2 linked regions of the Arabidopsis thaliana genome follow. The protein of the gene in region 1 interacts with the protein of each later gene in a pairwise test. Each region holds a gene or a part of one and is shown on either strand. Other genes may lie near its edges.

The links.
Region 2: the proteins of AT3G10590 (region 1) and AT2G31220 interact in a two-hybrid assay, tested with the Arabidopsis thaliana proteins (one large-scale study listed by BioGRID).

What each region holds. Positions count from the first base shown.
Region 1 is NC_003074.8:3,308,314-3,315,590, forward strand, and holds AT3G10590 (Duplicated homeodomain-like superfamily protein), read right to left. Parts: upstream 3,015-7,277; 5' UTR 2,999-3,014; coding exon 2,643-2,998; intron 2,376-2,642; coding exon 2,111-2,375; 3' UTR 1,895-2,110; downstream 1-1,894. Other genes in the region: AT3G10585 (Homeodomain-like superfamily protein), read right to left, coding at 254-307, 393-528, 809-1,116; AT3G10595 (Duplicated homeodomain-like superfamily protein), read right to left, coding at 3,592-3,874, 4,234-4,502; CAT7 (cationic amino acid transporter 7), read left to right, coding at 5,656-6,055, 6,154-6,722, 6,815-7,046.
Region 2 is NC_003071.7:13,299,045-13,307,504, reverse strand, and holds AT2G31220 (basic helix-loop-helix (bHLH) DNA-binding superfamily protein), read right to left. Parts: upstream 4,840-8,460; 5' UTR 4,753-4,839; intron 4,532-4,752; 5' UTR 4,492-4,531; coding exon 4,485-4,491; intron 4,433-4,484; exon of another isoform or gene 4,390-4,432; coding exon 3,572-4,389; intron 3,478-3,571; coding exon 3,028-3,477; intron 2,946-3,027; coding exon 2,844-2,945; 3' UTR 2,636-2,843; downstream 1-2,635. Other genes in the region: ERF15 (ethylene-responsive element binding factor 15), read left to right, coding at 98-829; AT2G31215 (basic helix-loop-helix (bHLH) DNA-binding superfamily protein), read right to left, coding at 7,203-7,439, 7,546-7,698.

The sequences.
Region 1 (7,277 bases):
AAGAGAACTTTAAGGAATCTGTTACTGAGGGTATTGTTTTCCGCTTCTAATCAGATTTATAGTGAGAAAATAATAGGGAATGTTGCAAAATGAACCCTCGTCTTACTTTAATTAGCAAAAGAAACCGGAGTTATCTTTATTTCGTCCTTAACCTCCATATTGCTCAACATACCAAAGGGTCTTAAAACATTTATACTTTTACAAAGCAACCCAAAACATTTATAGTTTGTTCAAACCGGTCTTATACAGTTCATCAATCATCATCATCCGATATATACATCAGTACATCATCATCATCAACATCCCCCTATACAATTGATCATCGTCAAGCAAAACTCATCATATACTCATATACTTGAACTTATCATCACCCGGAGGGTTTTCTACTTAACAAAATCTGACTTGCCCTTAGTAGACTCCAAAGTTATGTCAAGGACACTCCAGCGTTTCCTCTTCTTACTGTCCAATTTTTGCCTTTTGTCATACTTTTGTGCATGACTTGCTACTTGTGTTGAGGTCACAAATTCCCTTGATATCATACTCCAAGCTCCTTTCCCATACTTGTTCAATCCATCAAGATCCCATAATCGTCATTATCAAGGTCAAATAAAAACATTCTCTCACAAACACGATTATTCATCATCTTAATTCAACAATCTAAAGACGTTTATCAGAAAATCAACCACCAAGATTATCATAATCATATGTAATTCATAAGTCTTTGACTAACCCTTAATGCATCAACTCCAGCAAGATTTAAGACTCTTCCTCAATCAAAAGAAACCCTAAATTTATGTCTTTGACAAACCTGTGTTCCTCTTCTGTCCAAGGAATTATCCTCGGTATCTGATTCGTCTCCCCGTGTTTGGACTCAGTCGCTTCCGTCAGTGACACGTAATAGGCTTCCGGGTACTTGGGTAATGCATACTTACCCGATTCGATCAGCACAACATCATAGACCAATATTGCGTCGTAGTAGTACTTCACCTCCTCCAAAGGTTTCTGTAGAAACTCGGCAATGTACTCCAAAAAATACGGCGAGCCCTCAGGGAATATCACCAGGGCTAACTCAAAACGCTTGTCATTGTCTCTCGTCCACGGCGGAATCAAAGCCATAATATCCAAGAAAATGAAGAAAAATAGTTTGTGGAATCTGTCAGTCTGTGTCTGTCACTGAAGAGGGTTTGTTGTTCCTTTAATTATTTTTTGAGAACCTGAGAATTTTATAGAGGTGATTTCGCCGGATAAACTAATAAGAAAAACTACAAATTTAGCCCTCAATATATAATGTCATTGAGATTTTTCGTTTCATATTAGATTTATAATGAGAAATAATAAGGAAAAATGTAAAATTAACCCTCCTCTTTGCTTTATTTAATAAAAGAAACCCGAGTTATTTTATTTCGTTCTTAACCACCATATTATATATATCAAACTCAGAACTCAGAAGCTGTCTTTCTTTTTATTAAACGTGTTTATACGTCTGTTTAATTATCACAGAAAAAAATAAAATAAAAAGATGAAAACTTTCAGTACAAGAAAGAGTTCTAAGTACGTATGACTGACTTCTTTATGAATTTTCTTTCTTTTAAACGTGTTTACGCGCGGCCTTTATCACAGAAATAAATATTCTATTTTTTTTGAATTTAAAGAAAGAAAGAAAAGATTACTTTTCAGTTCAAGAAAGAATTCAAAGTATATATCTTCTTATAAAATTTTGGTCTTATTATGCTTCCAAGTTCCATGTAAATTAAATATACTGAAAGACAAACGGTTTGACTAAATATTGATCATTTAATTAGTGATCATATTCACTTACTTTATATATAATATAATATCTTGGCTTTTTTAATGTTTTGAAACTATTTAAAATAAAAACTAACATATACTTGATAGAATCATTAATTATCCTATACACTTGAACATCATCAAGTGAAACTGATATTTTTGTATACCGAAACTACGTAGCAATCCTATACATATGCAGAAAACAAGCGAAGTTCCTTTTTTATTATATTAAATCTATATATATATATATATATATTATCTATTTTTGAGTTCAAGTTCCGTTGCTTGTTTCATTTCACACCATTCTTCTATCTTCCAACATCTAAACTCCAAGACAAGTGCCTTGACCTTGGGACGGATCATCATCATCCGGAGGGTTCTGATTTCCAGAATCTGGATTGCCCTCGGTAGACTCCAAAGTTATGTCAAAAATACTCCGGCGTTTCTCCTTCTTATTGTCCGATTTTTGCCTTTTGTAATACTGTGCATGGCTTGACACTTGCCGTGGAGTCTTTGTCTTCACAAAATTCGTTGATGTCAACGTCGAAGCTCCTTCCCCATACTTTTTCAATCCTTGCAGAAACAATCTGAAATATATCATTAAACAATCAAAATCATAAGAATTAATAACCTAGATATTATCATAATCAGCATCATCATGTTAAAATTAATATAAATCAAATTGATAATTACATCTATCTGAAGAAAAATACTTGTATACGTTACCCTAATCAACAAAACCCAAACTAATCATTTTTTGTGAGATTTGAACTGTTAACTTATACTTTTCCTCAAGATTTAAGACTTTTCCTCAATCAAAAGAAACCCTAATTCATAAGTATTTGATGACTAACCTGTGTTCCTCTTCTGTCCAAGGATTTGGCGTATCCTTCTTCCTGCGTTTGGACTGACTCGATTCCGCCAGTGGTACGTACTCGGGCATCTGATTAACATCGTTGGCCATCTTTTCGTACATGTACTTCATCTCCTCCATTTCCATAGGTTTCTGCAGATGCTGGGTGACATTCTCTAAAGGTTTCGGCAGATAAACATCGTTGACCAACTTTTCGTAGTAGTACTTCACCTCCTCCAAAGGTTTCGGCAGATGCTGGGCGACATTCACCAAACGCTTGTTATCCGGAGGGAATTGCGACAGAGCTGACTTAAAACGCCTGTTGTCGTCCTCCGTCCAGCGTGGACTCGAAGCCATAGTATCCGAGAAAATGAGAAAAAAAAAAAGAGATGGCTAAAAATTCAAGAAACAAGAAGATCGTTTTGTGGAATATGTTACGGAAGAGCGATTGTTTGTTCGTTTTAATTTTGGCAACCTGACAATTTATAGAGGATCAAGTAATGGGTGAAAATTACAAAATTAGCCCTCACTTTACAAAAAGAAACACGATTTCGTATTTAAACACGCACAACTTGACTCAGAAGTTTTCTTCTCGTTTACGTTTAGACGTACGCAGTGGGTAAAACTTGGAGTGTAATTTCAAGTTATTTTAGTTTCCTATTTAACCCCAACTTTATATATACTACGTACTTAACTTGAAAGCTCCATCTTACGTGTATCTTCTGTTTAGCCTAGATGAAATAAAGCAAAAAATAAAAACATTGAAATATATATTATTTTAATGGTTAAAGAAAATAATATAGATGACCACAAAATTAAATAAAATATGGTTTGCCAAAAAAATGGAAATCCCAAATCTTTAACATACCACACAAAAAAAATAATCAAGGGCCTTCAATATCTTTAGGCTTTTTATTTTTTGGTTGTTAATACAGTCATAGAGATTTATATCACTTTGAGTTGGGGGCCTTAGCATGGTGACCGATTTCCAGAGCGACGAGACTCTCTTGTTGGCCTGTTGAGTCCACATTGGTGTTATTTGCTCCCTGCCGTTTCATCACATTCACATCGGTGCTTGCCACATTTAAGTCGTTAATCACATTTTTCTTTGAGCTTTGCCACTGGTAAAAGTTTTCTGCATATATCTCGACTTGGATCGGGCTCTTGCAATCCAATAAGACGGCTATTTTACGCCAATCTTTCCCAAATCGGTCTAACCCAATCAGAAACCATCTGCATTACAATTTCCACCAGTTCATAGATCAGCCCATTTTAATCAAGTTTCACCATGGCATTATTAGTTAACGATATAAATTGAGTCAAATGAAAAAAAAAAAAAAACTATATTGTCCACATTAAAAAAATAATGCTAGAATGTGTAAATCGTAAGATCATAGGACTAAATACATTTTAATCTCAGAAATGAACTATGTGAATTATGGAGTCTAAGAGGAGAATGCGTCTAGCTAGATCCACAAACCAATACCAGTACTAATCAATCATTATGTTTATAATTGAAACTTATACGTGTATGTAAATTCCACTAACTAACAAAAATCATAACTCATCACTCATTAATCTTATATACTTACTCATGTGTTTCTTTGGTCCATATAGTTCTCTCGGCCTGGTACGAACTTTGAGCCATATCCTTAGTCAATTCATTAGGAAAAGCTACTCGACTGGATCCCATCTCTAAAAGATCATTGACCAATTCCTTGTAATGCTCCTTAACATCATCCACCGATCTATCCACATACTCGGCGACACTCTCAAACCGAGTAAGCAAAAAGGCAGTGAACATCACCAGTGCATCCTTGAACATCTCGTTCTCCTCTGTCGTCCATGAATTTTCAGCCATGATTCCCAAAACAAATTAAGGAAAATGAAGTCTACAAAACAGAATGGTGTGAATCTGGAGAACTACAGTATATATAATAACTCATGTAAGGGATATGGCAGCTTATAAATCAACTCAAGTAACAAAAAATATATGGCTTCTCTTCTCTCAAATTGGGGTGTATTAAGTTTCCTTCCTTTTTCTTATATTCAAAGGGTAAATTTTATTTCAGATTTTGCTATATTGCATACAAAGTCTTTATTTTATTTCTTTCTACTGATTTATTGTCATTCATTTAGTTTCCTATATCCTTTTTATTAAATTTGTTTTATAATATTGACGATTTTAGCCAATTAGATTATGATACGTGTACAAATAAATTTTTATTTTCACACGTGTTAGCAATCAGAATTATGATACGTGTTACAGCCAATTAGATTATAACACGTGTATAAACAAATTTATGTTTTCACACGTGTTAAAAATTAAAAATTTAACATACAAAAGATTATAGACCTAATACCACACAAATAAAATAAATAGTCAAAACTTTAGAAATTAAGAACTTTCATTAACATGAAAGAAACAAAAAATTGTTTATTTTTTCAAACTCTCTTCACACGAAAAGGAAAATAATCAATCATAATTATTCACCAAGTTGTGAATATTGCGACGGATTGCAACGATCCCGGTTACTGGTTGGTCACTCTGATACTTAAAAGAGTAACATTTTTATCCATGTTCGTTGGTTGCATTCGTTAAACAAACAAGTTGTGATTATTATCGACCATTGTCCAAGGAAAAATAAGCATTCATTATTTATACTAGGAATTAAATATTTGCCGTCTAAACTCAAATAATAAAAATTGGGAGACCGAACAGATTATAGAATATTTGTGTTAATGCTTACGTGATTTATTTATTTTAGTCGATGCTTATGTGATCACTGATCATTATGAATACAAAAAAATAGAAGCTACTTTAATATAATAAAACTAAGTTGACCAAAATAATAATAATAATTAGCGTTTCCAAAGCTTGTAATAAATTACACCAAAAAGCGTCTAATTCTTTTTTTCGTCTCTCAGTCTTTTGCAATCTCACATTATAAAACCACTTGTTTCAAATTACTCTCAAAAACATTATAATCCGTTACATATTGACCCGACCCGAAATGGAGGCCCAATACCGGAACCACGACGGAGACACCTCTTTCTCTAGCCTCCGTGTCTACCTCAACTCTCTCTCCGACACTCCCTCCCGTTTTTCCCGCCGAGCCGTTTCCGTTTCCACCTCTTACGACGAGATGAGCCGCGTCCGCGCCGTCTCCGGCGAGCAGATGCGTCGTACTCTCCGTTGGTACGATCTCATCGGACTCGGAATCGGTGGAATGATCGGAGCCGGAGTCTTCGTCACCACCGGCCGTGCTAGTCGTCTCTACGCTGGTCCATCAATCGTCGTCTCTTACGCAATCGCCGGACTCTGTGCTCTACTCTCCGCCTTCTGTTACACCGAGTTCGCCGTTCACCTCCCCGTCGCCGGCGGTGCTTTCAGCTACATCCGTATCACATTCGGTCAGTAACATTCTCCCGCCAAAATCAAAACTCCCAAATCGCAGAGAAATTCAAATTTCATTTTTTCCTCTCCGATCATTCATTTTTTTCCGTTACAGGCGAGTTTCCGGCGTTTATAACCGGAGCAAATCTGATAATGGACTACGTACTGTCAAACGCCGCCGTTTCAAGAGGATTCACCGCTTATCTCGGATCTGCATTCGGAATCTCAACATCGGAGTGGAGATTCATCGTCTCCGGTCTCCCAAACGGATTCAACGAAATCGATCCCATCGCCGTTATCGTCGTCCTCGCCGTCACGTTCGTCATCTGTTACAGTACGAGAGAGAGTTCGAAGGTGAATATGGTATTAACGGCGTTACACATTGCATTTATAGTATTCGTGATCGTCATGGGTTTCTCGAAAGGAGACGTAAAGAATTTAACCCGACCCGATAACCCGGAAAACCCATCCGGATTCTTCCCGTTTGGAGTTTCGGGTGTGTTTAACGGAGCAGCAATGGTTTATCTAAGTTACATAGGATACGACGCCGTTTCGACAATGGCTGAAGAAGTAAAAGACCCAGTCAAAGACATACCAATGGGAATCTCTGGCTCAGTCGCAATCGTCATTGTACTTTACTGTTTAATGGCTATCTCTATGTCAATGCTTCTCCCGTACGATCTGGTCCGTACCATCAAATACACATTTTTAATTTAAGCTTTTTTCTATGGGTTTTGTGGGTGAATGATTTGGTGTGGTTGTGTGTACGTAAGCAGATAGATGCGGAGGCACCGTATTCGGCGGCGTTTAGTAAATCGGAAGGATGGGAATGGGTGACGAGAGTGGTTGGGATTGGAGCAAGTTTCGGGATATTAACGTCGTTGATAGTAGCCATGTTGGGTCAGGCTCGGTACATGTGCGTCATCGGACGGTCAAGAGTTGTCCCCATTTGGTTTGCTAAGGTTCATCCCAAGACATCTACTCCAGTCAACGCTTCCGCTTTTCTTGGTAACTTTTTGTCCTTACTCTCAAACATATTTATTTTCATTCTATTAAAATTAACATCTTTGATCAAATATAATAAGTTAAATATTATTTATTTTTAAGGTTATGTTGGAATTTTCCTTTCGTAAAGATCGGTTTTATGTTTTTTCTCTGTTTTATTTTCATCAAGTGATAAAGAGACAGTTTGATAGTGGGGACATCCATTTTGGGTTTTTGTTTGTTTGTTTGTTTCCA
Region 2 (8,460 bases), on another chromosome or scaffold:
GGATTAGGTTTTGAAATAAACTTATTGCCACAACAAGAAGAGATAACAAAAAGAAAAGAAAAAGAGAAATCGTAAAAAAAAAAAAAAAAAAAAACTTATGGAATATTCCCAATCTTCCATGTATTCATCTCCAAGTTCTTGGAGCTCATCACAAGAATCACTCTTATGGAACGAGAGCTGTTTCTTGGATCAATCATCTGAACCTCAAGCCTTCTTTTGCCCTAATTATGATTACTCCGATGACTTTTTCTCATTTGAGTCACCGGAGATGATGATTAAGGAAGAAATTCAAAACGGCGACGTTTCTAACTCCGAAGAAGAAGAAAAGGTTGGAATTGATGAAGAAAGATCATACAGAGGAGTGAGGAAAAGGCCGTGGGGGAAATTTGCAGCGGAGATAAGAGATTCAACGAGGAATGGAATTAGGGTTTGGCTCGGGACATTTGACAAAGCCGAGGAAGCCGCTCTTGCTTATGATCAAGCGGCTTTCGCCACAAAAGGATCTCTTGCAACACTTAATTTCCCGGTGGAAGTGGTTAGAGAGTCGCTAAAGAAAATGGAGAATGTGAATCTTCATGATGGAGGATCTCCGGTTATGGCCTTGAAGAGAAAACATTCTCTTCGAAACCGGCCTAGAGGGAAAAAGCGATCCTCTTCTTCTTCTTCTTCTTCTTCTAATTCTTCTTCTTGCTCTTCTTCTTCGTCTACTTCTTCAACATCAAGAAGTAGTAGTAAGCAGAGTGTTGTGAAGCAAGAAAGTGGTACACTTGTGGTTTTTGAAGATTTAGGTGCTGAGTATTTAGAACAACTTCTTATGAGCTCATGTTGATCTTGTAATTGATTTCAGCAAAAGCCACTATTAAACTTTAATTTTGTGATAATTAATCTTGAAATTTGTTTTGTTCATTCTGCAATTTCTTTGGTTCTCTTATTTTTTGTTTGTTGTATCCAAATGAAATTATTGGAAGAGATGGTGATGTTAAAGTGTATATATATAAAAAAAAAACTCTTATTTTTTGTCTTGATGAAAAAAAAATCTATTATTGCGTTATATGGCTGAAAAGTGTGTGTGTCCACCTTAATTGCTTTAATTTTTTTTTTTTTTTTGTGCTTTAATAATTTTCATTTTTTGCGTGAAAGATATTAGAGGATATAAATTTCTCCAAGTAACGATTCCTGTAAATCTAAGACTGTGAATCTTAAAAAATCAATCAAGTCGATCCAAGCTATAAAGTTATTCTTAATTCGAATAACAAAATCTAACCAAAAAGAAGTTGATAAGATAAACTATTAAGTTTTGTGTGTGTAGGGTAATTCGATTAGATCTATAAAGGTACGTTCCTGTTATATTGTATAAATGTTATATTATAAATTATATAAAATATCATTATGACGTTCATATTATATTGTGTTAATACGTCGTTAATGATGCTTTCGTTATCATCATTATTGTTAATCTCATTATTAATTGGCTGTTTGACTTTCTTATTACTTTTTTTGTGTGTGAAACATTCTTAACCCAATAAGCTATAAAGATTAACCATAGGCGATAAAATCAAATTCTACATGTCGATATTTTGTTGGATGTCGTAAATTGAAACATTCTTAACCTAATAAAGCTTAAGATTCACCATGGACGTTGGAATTAAAATAATTTCATGTCGAGATTTTTTTTGTTTTTTGGTAGAGTTTGAAGTATTGATACAATTATTTGAAATTTTGACAAAAAATAAATAAACATATACTGTTAACAGAAAAATACTGAAAACCTAAAGAAAAAAGCTTTAAAAACGTGATTGGTTTAGCTCTAAAGAACCCGATCCCTCAACTCCAAAGAATCCAAGTCTTCATCATGGCCTCCACGAGCAGCTCCTATCCTAGACAAGCCCTCAAACCTCAGTTAAATGCTTACAACTTCTTTGAGGATAAACGAAAAAACGGAATGGCAATAACGGAGTTGAACAATTAGAGAAACCGTCACCAACCACAATTACCGTTTTTTTTTTAATTTCCTTTTGCCAAATGTGAATATGTGAAAAGCTATATATAATTATCAAGTGATATGCTTGTCCAGAATTAGTAAGTTAAAATTGTGATACACGTCATAAGCTTTTCACAGACATACTTTATTTTAAATGTGAAAATAGACTTCAAAACAAAAAAATACACATGAACGTGTTCGAAATAGGGAATAAGCAAAAAGGGTGACAGACAACGAGCAAAGACAAGAGCGTTGAGACAAAATCACATCCTTGTTTTTTTGTTTTAGATCTAAAACAAATTAACATTCACTAATTGATAGTACATTTTTTGTTTTGTCAAAGCCTAATTGATAGTACACATTATTAAATAAAAGCTTAAACACGTAATTCAACGGTAAATGAAAAATCGTAAAAAGAACCAGATTAAAATTGGCTCATTGTAAAAAGAACCACTGAAAATGTAAGCAAGTTTCTTAATTTCTAGTTAGAAAACCAGAATCGATAAAGAAGCAATGGTTTATAAATTCCGGACTGATGATTATTCTCAAACTTTTCAAACGACACGGCCCACTGGCCCATTAAGAGCAATATGAAACGTAAGGTAAATATGAGCAAGAGCATTTGTTAAAAAAAAAAACGCAAGAGATTAAAATGTGGTCGAAAAACGAAACCGATAAAGCTAGAAGAAATATATAGAGTTAGACAAAATCCAGACAAAGAGCCTCAGCTCTAGCTCTAACTTTAACTCTAGCTAAATAAACTTGAAAATTACCAAAGTGATTAATAACTTAATCAGTCATTAGAGGGGTATCACAAAAGTTATTAAAAAGCAATAAACTACTCCATAAGTGTGTCTGGAATCTAGTAGCCGTTGCTAGGAACAGCTTCCATGTACTGCTTCTCCACGACCTCCATCAATGTGTCTGCAATTCCACTTGCATACACACAAGATCCTTCACAAATCTGCCTCAAACCAAATTGAAAAAGATTAGTTTATTGGTTTGGAGTTAATAACAGAACTATATTAGTGAGACATTTTCATTACCTTAGTGTTGAACAAGAAGCTGTAATGTTCACCAATCTGTCCACCTGCAACATGGTGAAGATCTAGCTGAAGCTGATCAAGAACTTTGGTGGTGAACAACAAACAGTTAATCTTCTTCTTCTGAACAAGCTTGATGGTTACTTCATCATCGATTATACGTACATCGACCTCAGTGACTTTCGATTTCCTCTTAAGCCATGAACATCTCAGTGAGTTGTTGTTGTTCTTGTTGAAGCAAGACTGGTCTACTTCGCTCTGTGGCTTGTAATTCACAGTGTCTTCTTCTTCTTCTTGATCTTCTCCTCCTCCTCCTTCACCAACTCTAGCTCTCTTCTTGCTCCTGAATCTCCCACATCTCTTCTTCTCCACAAGCATCTTAAACTCCTCTATTGTCCTTAAAAGCTCTTTGATGTAATCTATCGCCTCTCCAACTATCGATGCTCTATCAATCTACAGAGATTAAACCAACAATGTCTCTCATTTCATAGTCTCCTCATACACATTAACAACATGAATTGAAATCAAAGCAAAGTAAAGTATATACCTTTGTGGGATTTGGAATGAGGTTCTTTAAGTCGAAGAAACGATCATTGAAGTGAACTCGTCTCTCACGTTCTGTAGGGGAAGTTCTCGACTTTCTTGATCCTCTTCCTTTACGAGTAACTCCATTGTTAAACTCAAGAATCTCATTCTCAAATCCACCATTGTTGTTGTTTGCTCCTTCAAAGTACAAAACATTCATTCCTCCATTAGCATCCATCTGAATTTGATCTTCAACTCCAAGTAAACAAGAGCCGTTTCTTAGCTGGTTCTGATCTCTAGGCTGCATAGGGAAATTCAAATGGAAGAGAGGGTCGTACATAACAGCAGCAGCAGAAGAAGAAGACATAATGTCTGAGAAAGAGGTAGGTAGCATAGAGGAAGGATGATGATTAGGAGGCAATGAGCATCTAGGCAAGTGTAAGAGACTAAGCAAATCAGGAGTTGTTGCAGAGTTAGGTCCCAAATTCACAAAATCCTGATACCCATTATCCCAATTAGAGTGTTGTTGTTGATGTGAAGCCATTTGGTGAATCAAATTGTTGTGGAGTTGATCACAAGGAGGAGGTGGTGGAGGAGGAGGATTGATGTGAAACTGGAGAGGTGTTGAAGAAGCTTGAGGACAATCTTGTGGGCTGAGATGGAATTCAGAGAGCTCTTCTACCTCAACACTGCAGTTGCTGTTGCTTGTGCTTCCGGCAACCAGAACTTGCGGTGGTGGTGGTGGTGGTTCGGCTTGAGAGAAGCTACTCTCCACCGTAACTTCTGCTGGAGTGTTGGGATCGAAACAACCCATTTCCTCGTAAAGGCTTTCTCTTTCTTCTGCGTTTGTAACTCAAACACTAATTTAGATCTTCCAGAACGAAAAAGGTAGCAACTTTCATGAGAAATTAGACCAAATAATGAAATTTTGTTACCTTCCATGGAAATGGTTCAACGAGTACTCTAGATGATTCTTTAACACCTGCAAATCAAAAGTAACATTCAACAATCTTTAAGAAGAAGAAAAACCAAAAATTTGAAACTAATTTCAAAAAAAGTTAGCTCTTTTATAATTTTGGAAACGAAACCATAGAAATGTTTGTTAGGATCCAAAAGATTAAACATTGGGTTAAGGGTTTGAATTTGACAATAGATAGAAAGAGATGTAAGATAATGAGTAATCAGAGCTGGGAAAATTAGAACCTTTGTTACAATTAATTCTTCTCTACGTCTGTCTTCTCAATTTTCAGGAGAAGAAGTAAGTTTTTTAAACAAGAGTCTCTCTCTCCCTCTCTGTGTTTGAAATATACGGACATTTGTAGATGGAGACACACAATACAATAAGGGTAAAAAGATGGCAAAGTTAAATTATTGGATAACATGTATATTCTAGGTGTCTAATTTAAACGAAAATGTTGTATATAATCCATTAAGCTATGTTTCTAATCCAACTTTGATGCATGATTTATTAAGGTTTTGATTTGTTACATGGTTTGTGAAATTACTTCTTGTTTATAGTCATTTTTTAAATCATTTTCTATGCAACTTATTTTTTGATTAATCATTTCAAATGTTGAAACCTGATTACCAAATACCAATATGATCCTAAACATATCTTTTAACACTTAACCAGTTGTAAGAAAATTAGCATTGTATATATTTCTTTTACGTTATAAGCTCACTTTTAAGAAAATATAAATTGGGTTTTTTTTGGGGGCTGTTTTGGTTGGAGCATGTGATTTATCATTGTGGCCAAACATAAAGGTTGGTTAGAAGAATCAACAGATGGGTCCCTTGCCGAATCTCTCAGGTCTTTTCAACGACTTTAGGGGTATTTCCGTCATTATCAGCAAATACGATCTTCTCTCTGACCAATATGATATGGGCTCCACTAACTCACACCGACAAACCAAGTAGCCCCGTTTGCTCTTTCCCATTTCTACCCTTTTCCTTTCATTTTAGTAAAATTTGGATAAAAATATCCCAAATACAAAATTGTAATTGATAAAAGTATTTTAACGCGAAACTATTTTCTTGTCTTAGATGTATGTTTTACTTCTATAATTAATCTCATGTTTAATATGTGTTATGTTTATGCAATCGTATTTTATTATATACTCGAATTGAAAAAACTCTTCGACTTAATACAAGAACCAAAAATACTAATGCACGGTTTAAATGGATATGTTTTGTATATAAAAAGTGTTCAGTTTTAATTTATGGATGATTAACTACCTTATCATCAACAATCATGGAATTATTTATCACATCATCTAGTTTGATTCATCTATACGTTGTACATGGCATTGATAAAACTTATGTATGTATATCATAGTTAAATAGAAGTATAAATACTTAAACCCCTGGGTTTTCTAATTTTATAAGTAAACTGTGTTCAACAACTAAACCATCATAGAATAGTTTCTATCTCAAACACTTCCTGTAATGTATATCGACAACTCACTTAATTAATCTAATTTAACACTTCCTTTCTTTGTGTATAATCGATAACATAAAATGATAAAATAAAAATTCATCCATAAGAAAAATATTTAGATACTTGAAGAGATGTATAATAGAGAATCTGGTAAAAAAATAACATGGACTGTATTGAATATAAATAATTCATTTCATTCATATATGTTTATATTTCAATCTTTTCTATTAAATTTTTCTAAATAAATAACAATTTTGGATCAAACTAATTGTATAAGTTTCCTTGTTGAGCGGTTGGGTCATGCGATTTCTGTTTATAGCAAAGAGAGCGGGTTGTTTGAGAAGTAGTGGAAGTAGGTCCCACATCCAAGAATGGGATAATAATATACTTTATATTTGATTTAGTAAAAAAAAGAATTAGGGTTATTCTTGAAATTCGACAGAAACTGAAAAAATTCTGGTCACCTACCTCTCTCGTACACGGTACACTGCGACTGTCCCCATCCTAACTAAACAGTACAAACTCTGATTACTCAGAAAATGTTAAAATGTATTGCCGGACCAAACCAACGATTTGGTTTTTGATATATTAAAAATGTAGTGCCGCTTGATTCGGTCCATACATAGCCAATAGTTTCAGAAAAGGGGTTGGGTTGGATTCATTTAGGTAATGAATCGTATCATTTTTATTTTATTTGACGGTTGCACTACAGATATTTCATAGAAATTGATATTAGTTTAACAGGGCCTGCACTTCTCTAAAAATTATCGGTCTACAAACCCGACTTAACCGGTCTAAAACACACGTCACAATATCTCTAACAATAGACAAGTCTATTCAAAGTGGTCTATGATTAATTTGATCACTCTTATATATTATGCATGATGCTTCATCGTAGATGCTTGGGGTTGGGGATGAATTTCATCATTCATCACTGCTTCTTTTCTTTGAATCATTCCTTCTTTTCTTTCTCCGTAATCAAAGTGCATTCATCTTTCTTATATAACATTGTCTTGACATTTTCAGCTCTAAAGAAAGTTGGGTGTGTTGGCAAACTAGTCACTTTTTCAAACTTAATTGGAAAAGTAGTCACTTTACTATTCATAATTTGCAAAGTAGTCACTTTTCACTATTTGATTCGTACACTTGGATTGTACAACACTTTTAGTGTACAAATGTAAAGTGTACGTTGTGTATTTTTATATATATATGTACACTAAAAGTGGTGTACAAATCTAAGTGTACGAATCAAACAGTTAAAAGTGTTTTTGTTTTTGGAGAATGGATGCTCTATCTTGCTAGTCCCATAAATCGTGTTTTTATTGTCTACTTCAATGTTGTTGTGCCTTGCACCGCATTTTTTCTTCTCAACCAAATACTTAAGCTCGCTAACTAGTCTTTGTAACTCGTTGATGTAAACGATCCCATCTTGAACAATGGATGCTTCACCTCCCTAGTAATAGAGCATGTGTATTGATCAAGAGATATTGGAGAGAATGAATGAAAGATTAAACAGACGAAAAAGAATGAAAGATTAAACATAAAAATATATATCTAACCTTTGTGGGATTTGGAATGAGGTTCTTTAAGTCGAAGAAACGGTCATTGAAGAGAGCTCGTCTTTCGCGTTCTGTAAGGAAAGTTCTCGACTTCTTTGATCCTTTTCCTTCCTCTGCCTTGAACCTCTCGTTTTTTTTTGTGTAACGTTCCATGAAGATGGTTCAATACTCTAGAAGATTATCAATTTCAAGAGAAGAAACAAAGTTTCTTTAACAAGTCTCTCCCTCTCTGTATTTTGATTGAATATAAGGAGATTTGCAGATGGAATTAAAATTTTCTATTTTTTTTTCACTTAGGACACAAATTTATTATTTTATTTTTTTAGGACACAAAATGTTGACTTGACTTAATTAGCACTATGTTTCTAACCTATTTCACAGTAATGTCTTAAATAGATGTTGTTAAACATATTTTATGTCTATTTTTTAGCTTAATAAAGTTGTGCTTTTGCTGAAAAAATTATGAAATTATACCCTATATTATCTTTACAATTGAATAACTCTTCGACTGGATTACACAAACAACAAACAGATCGAAGATGAGGGATTTGGGTAGATAGTTTCCTACATATAAAGTTTTCATTATTTGTTAATAAATTGACAATTACTACTTCATCCCCAATAATCATTCATGATATCACTTCGTTTTAACCTCATTTATCTATGTGCATCACACTCGTAGAAGCGATGATTCAGAATGTCCAAATTTCGACGTTAACTGTTTTGAAGAAAATAAATTGAGAAACATATCTATTTGTCTCTCTCTTAATAATATCAACAAACGCTAGAAAAATATTATAAGTTTTATGTTGCGGTTAGATCATGCCATATATGTTTATAGCAGTATGAAAGAAGATGAAGAGGTAGGTCCCTCATCCAAAAATGTGAAAATATAATTTCATATTTAATTATTTT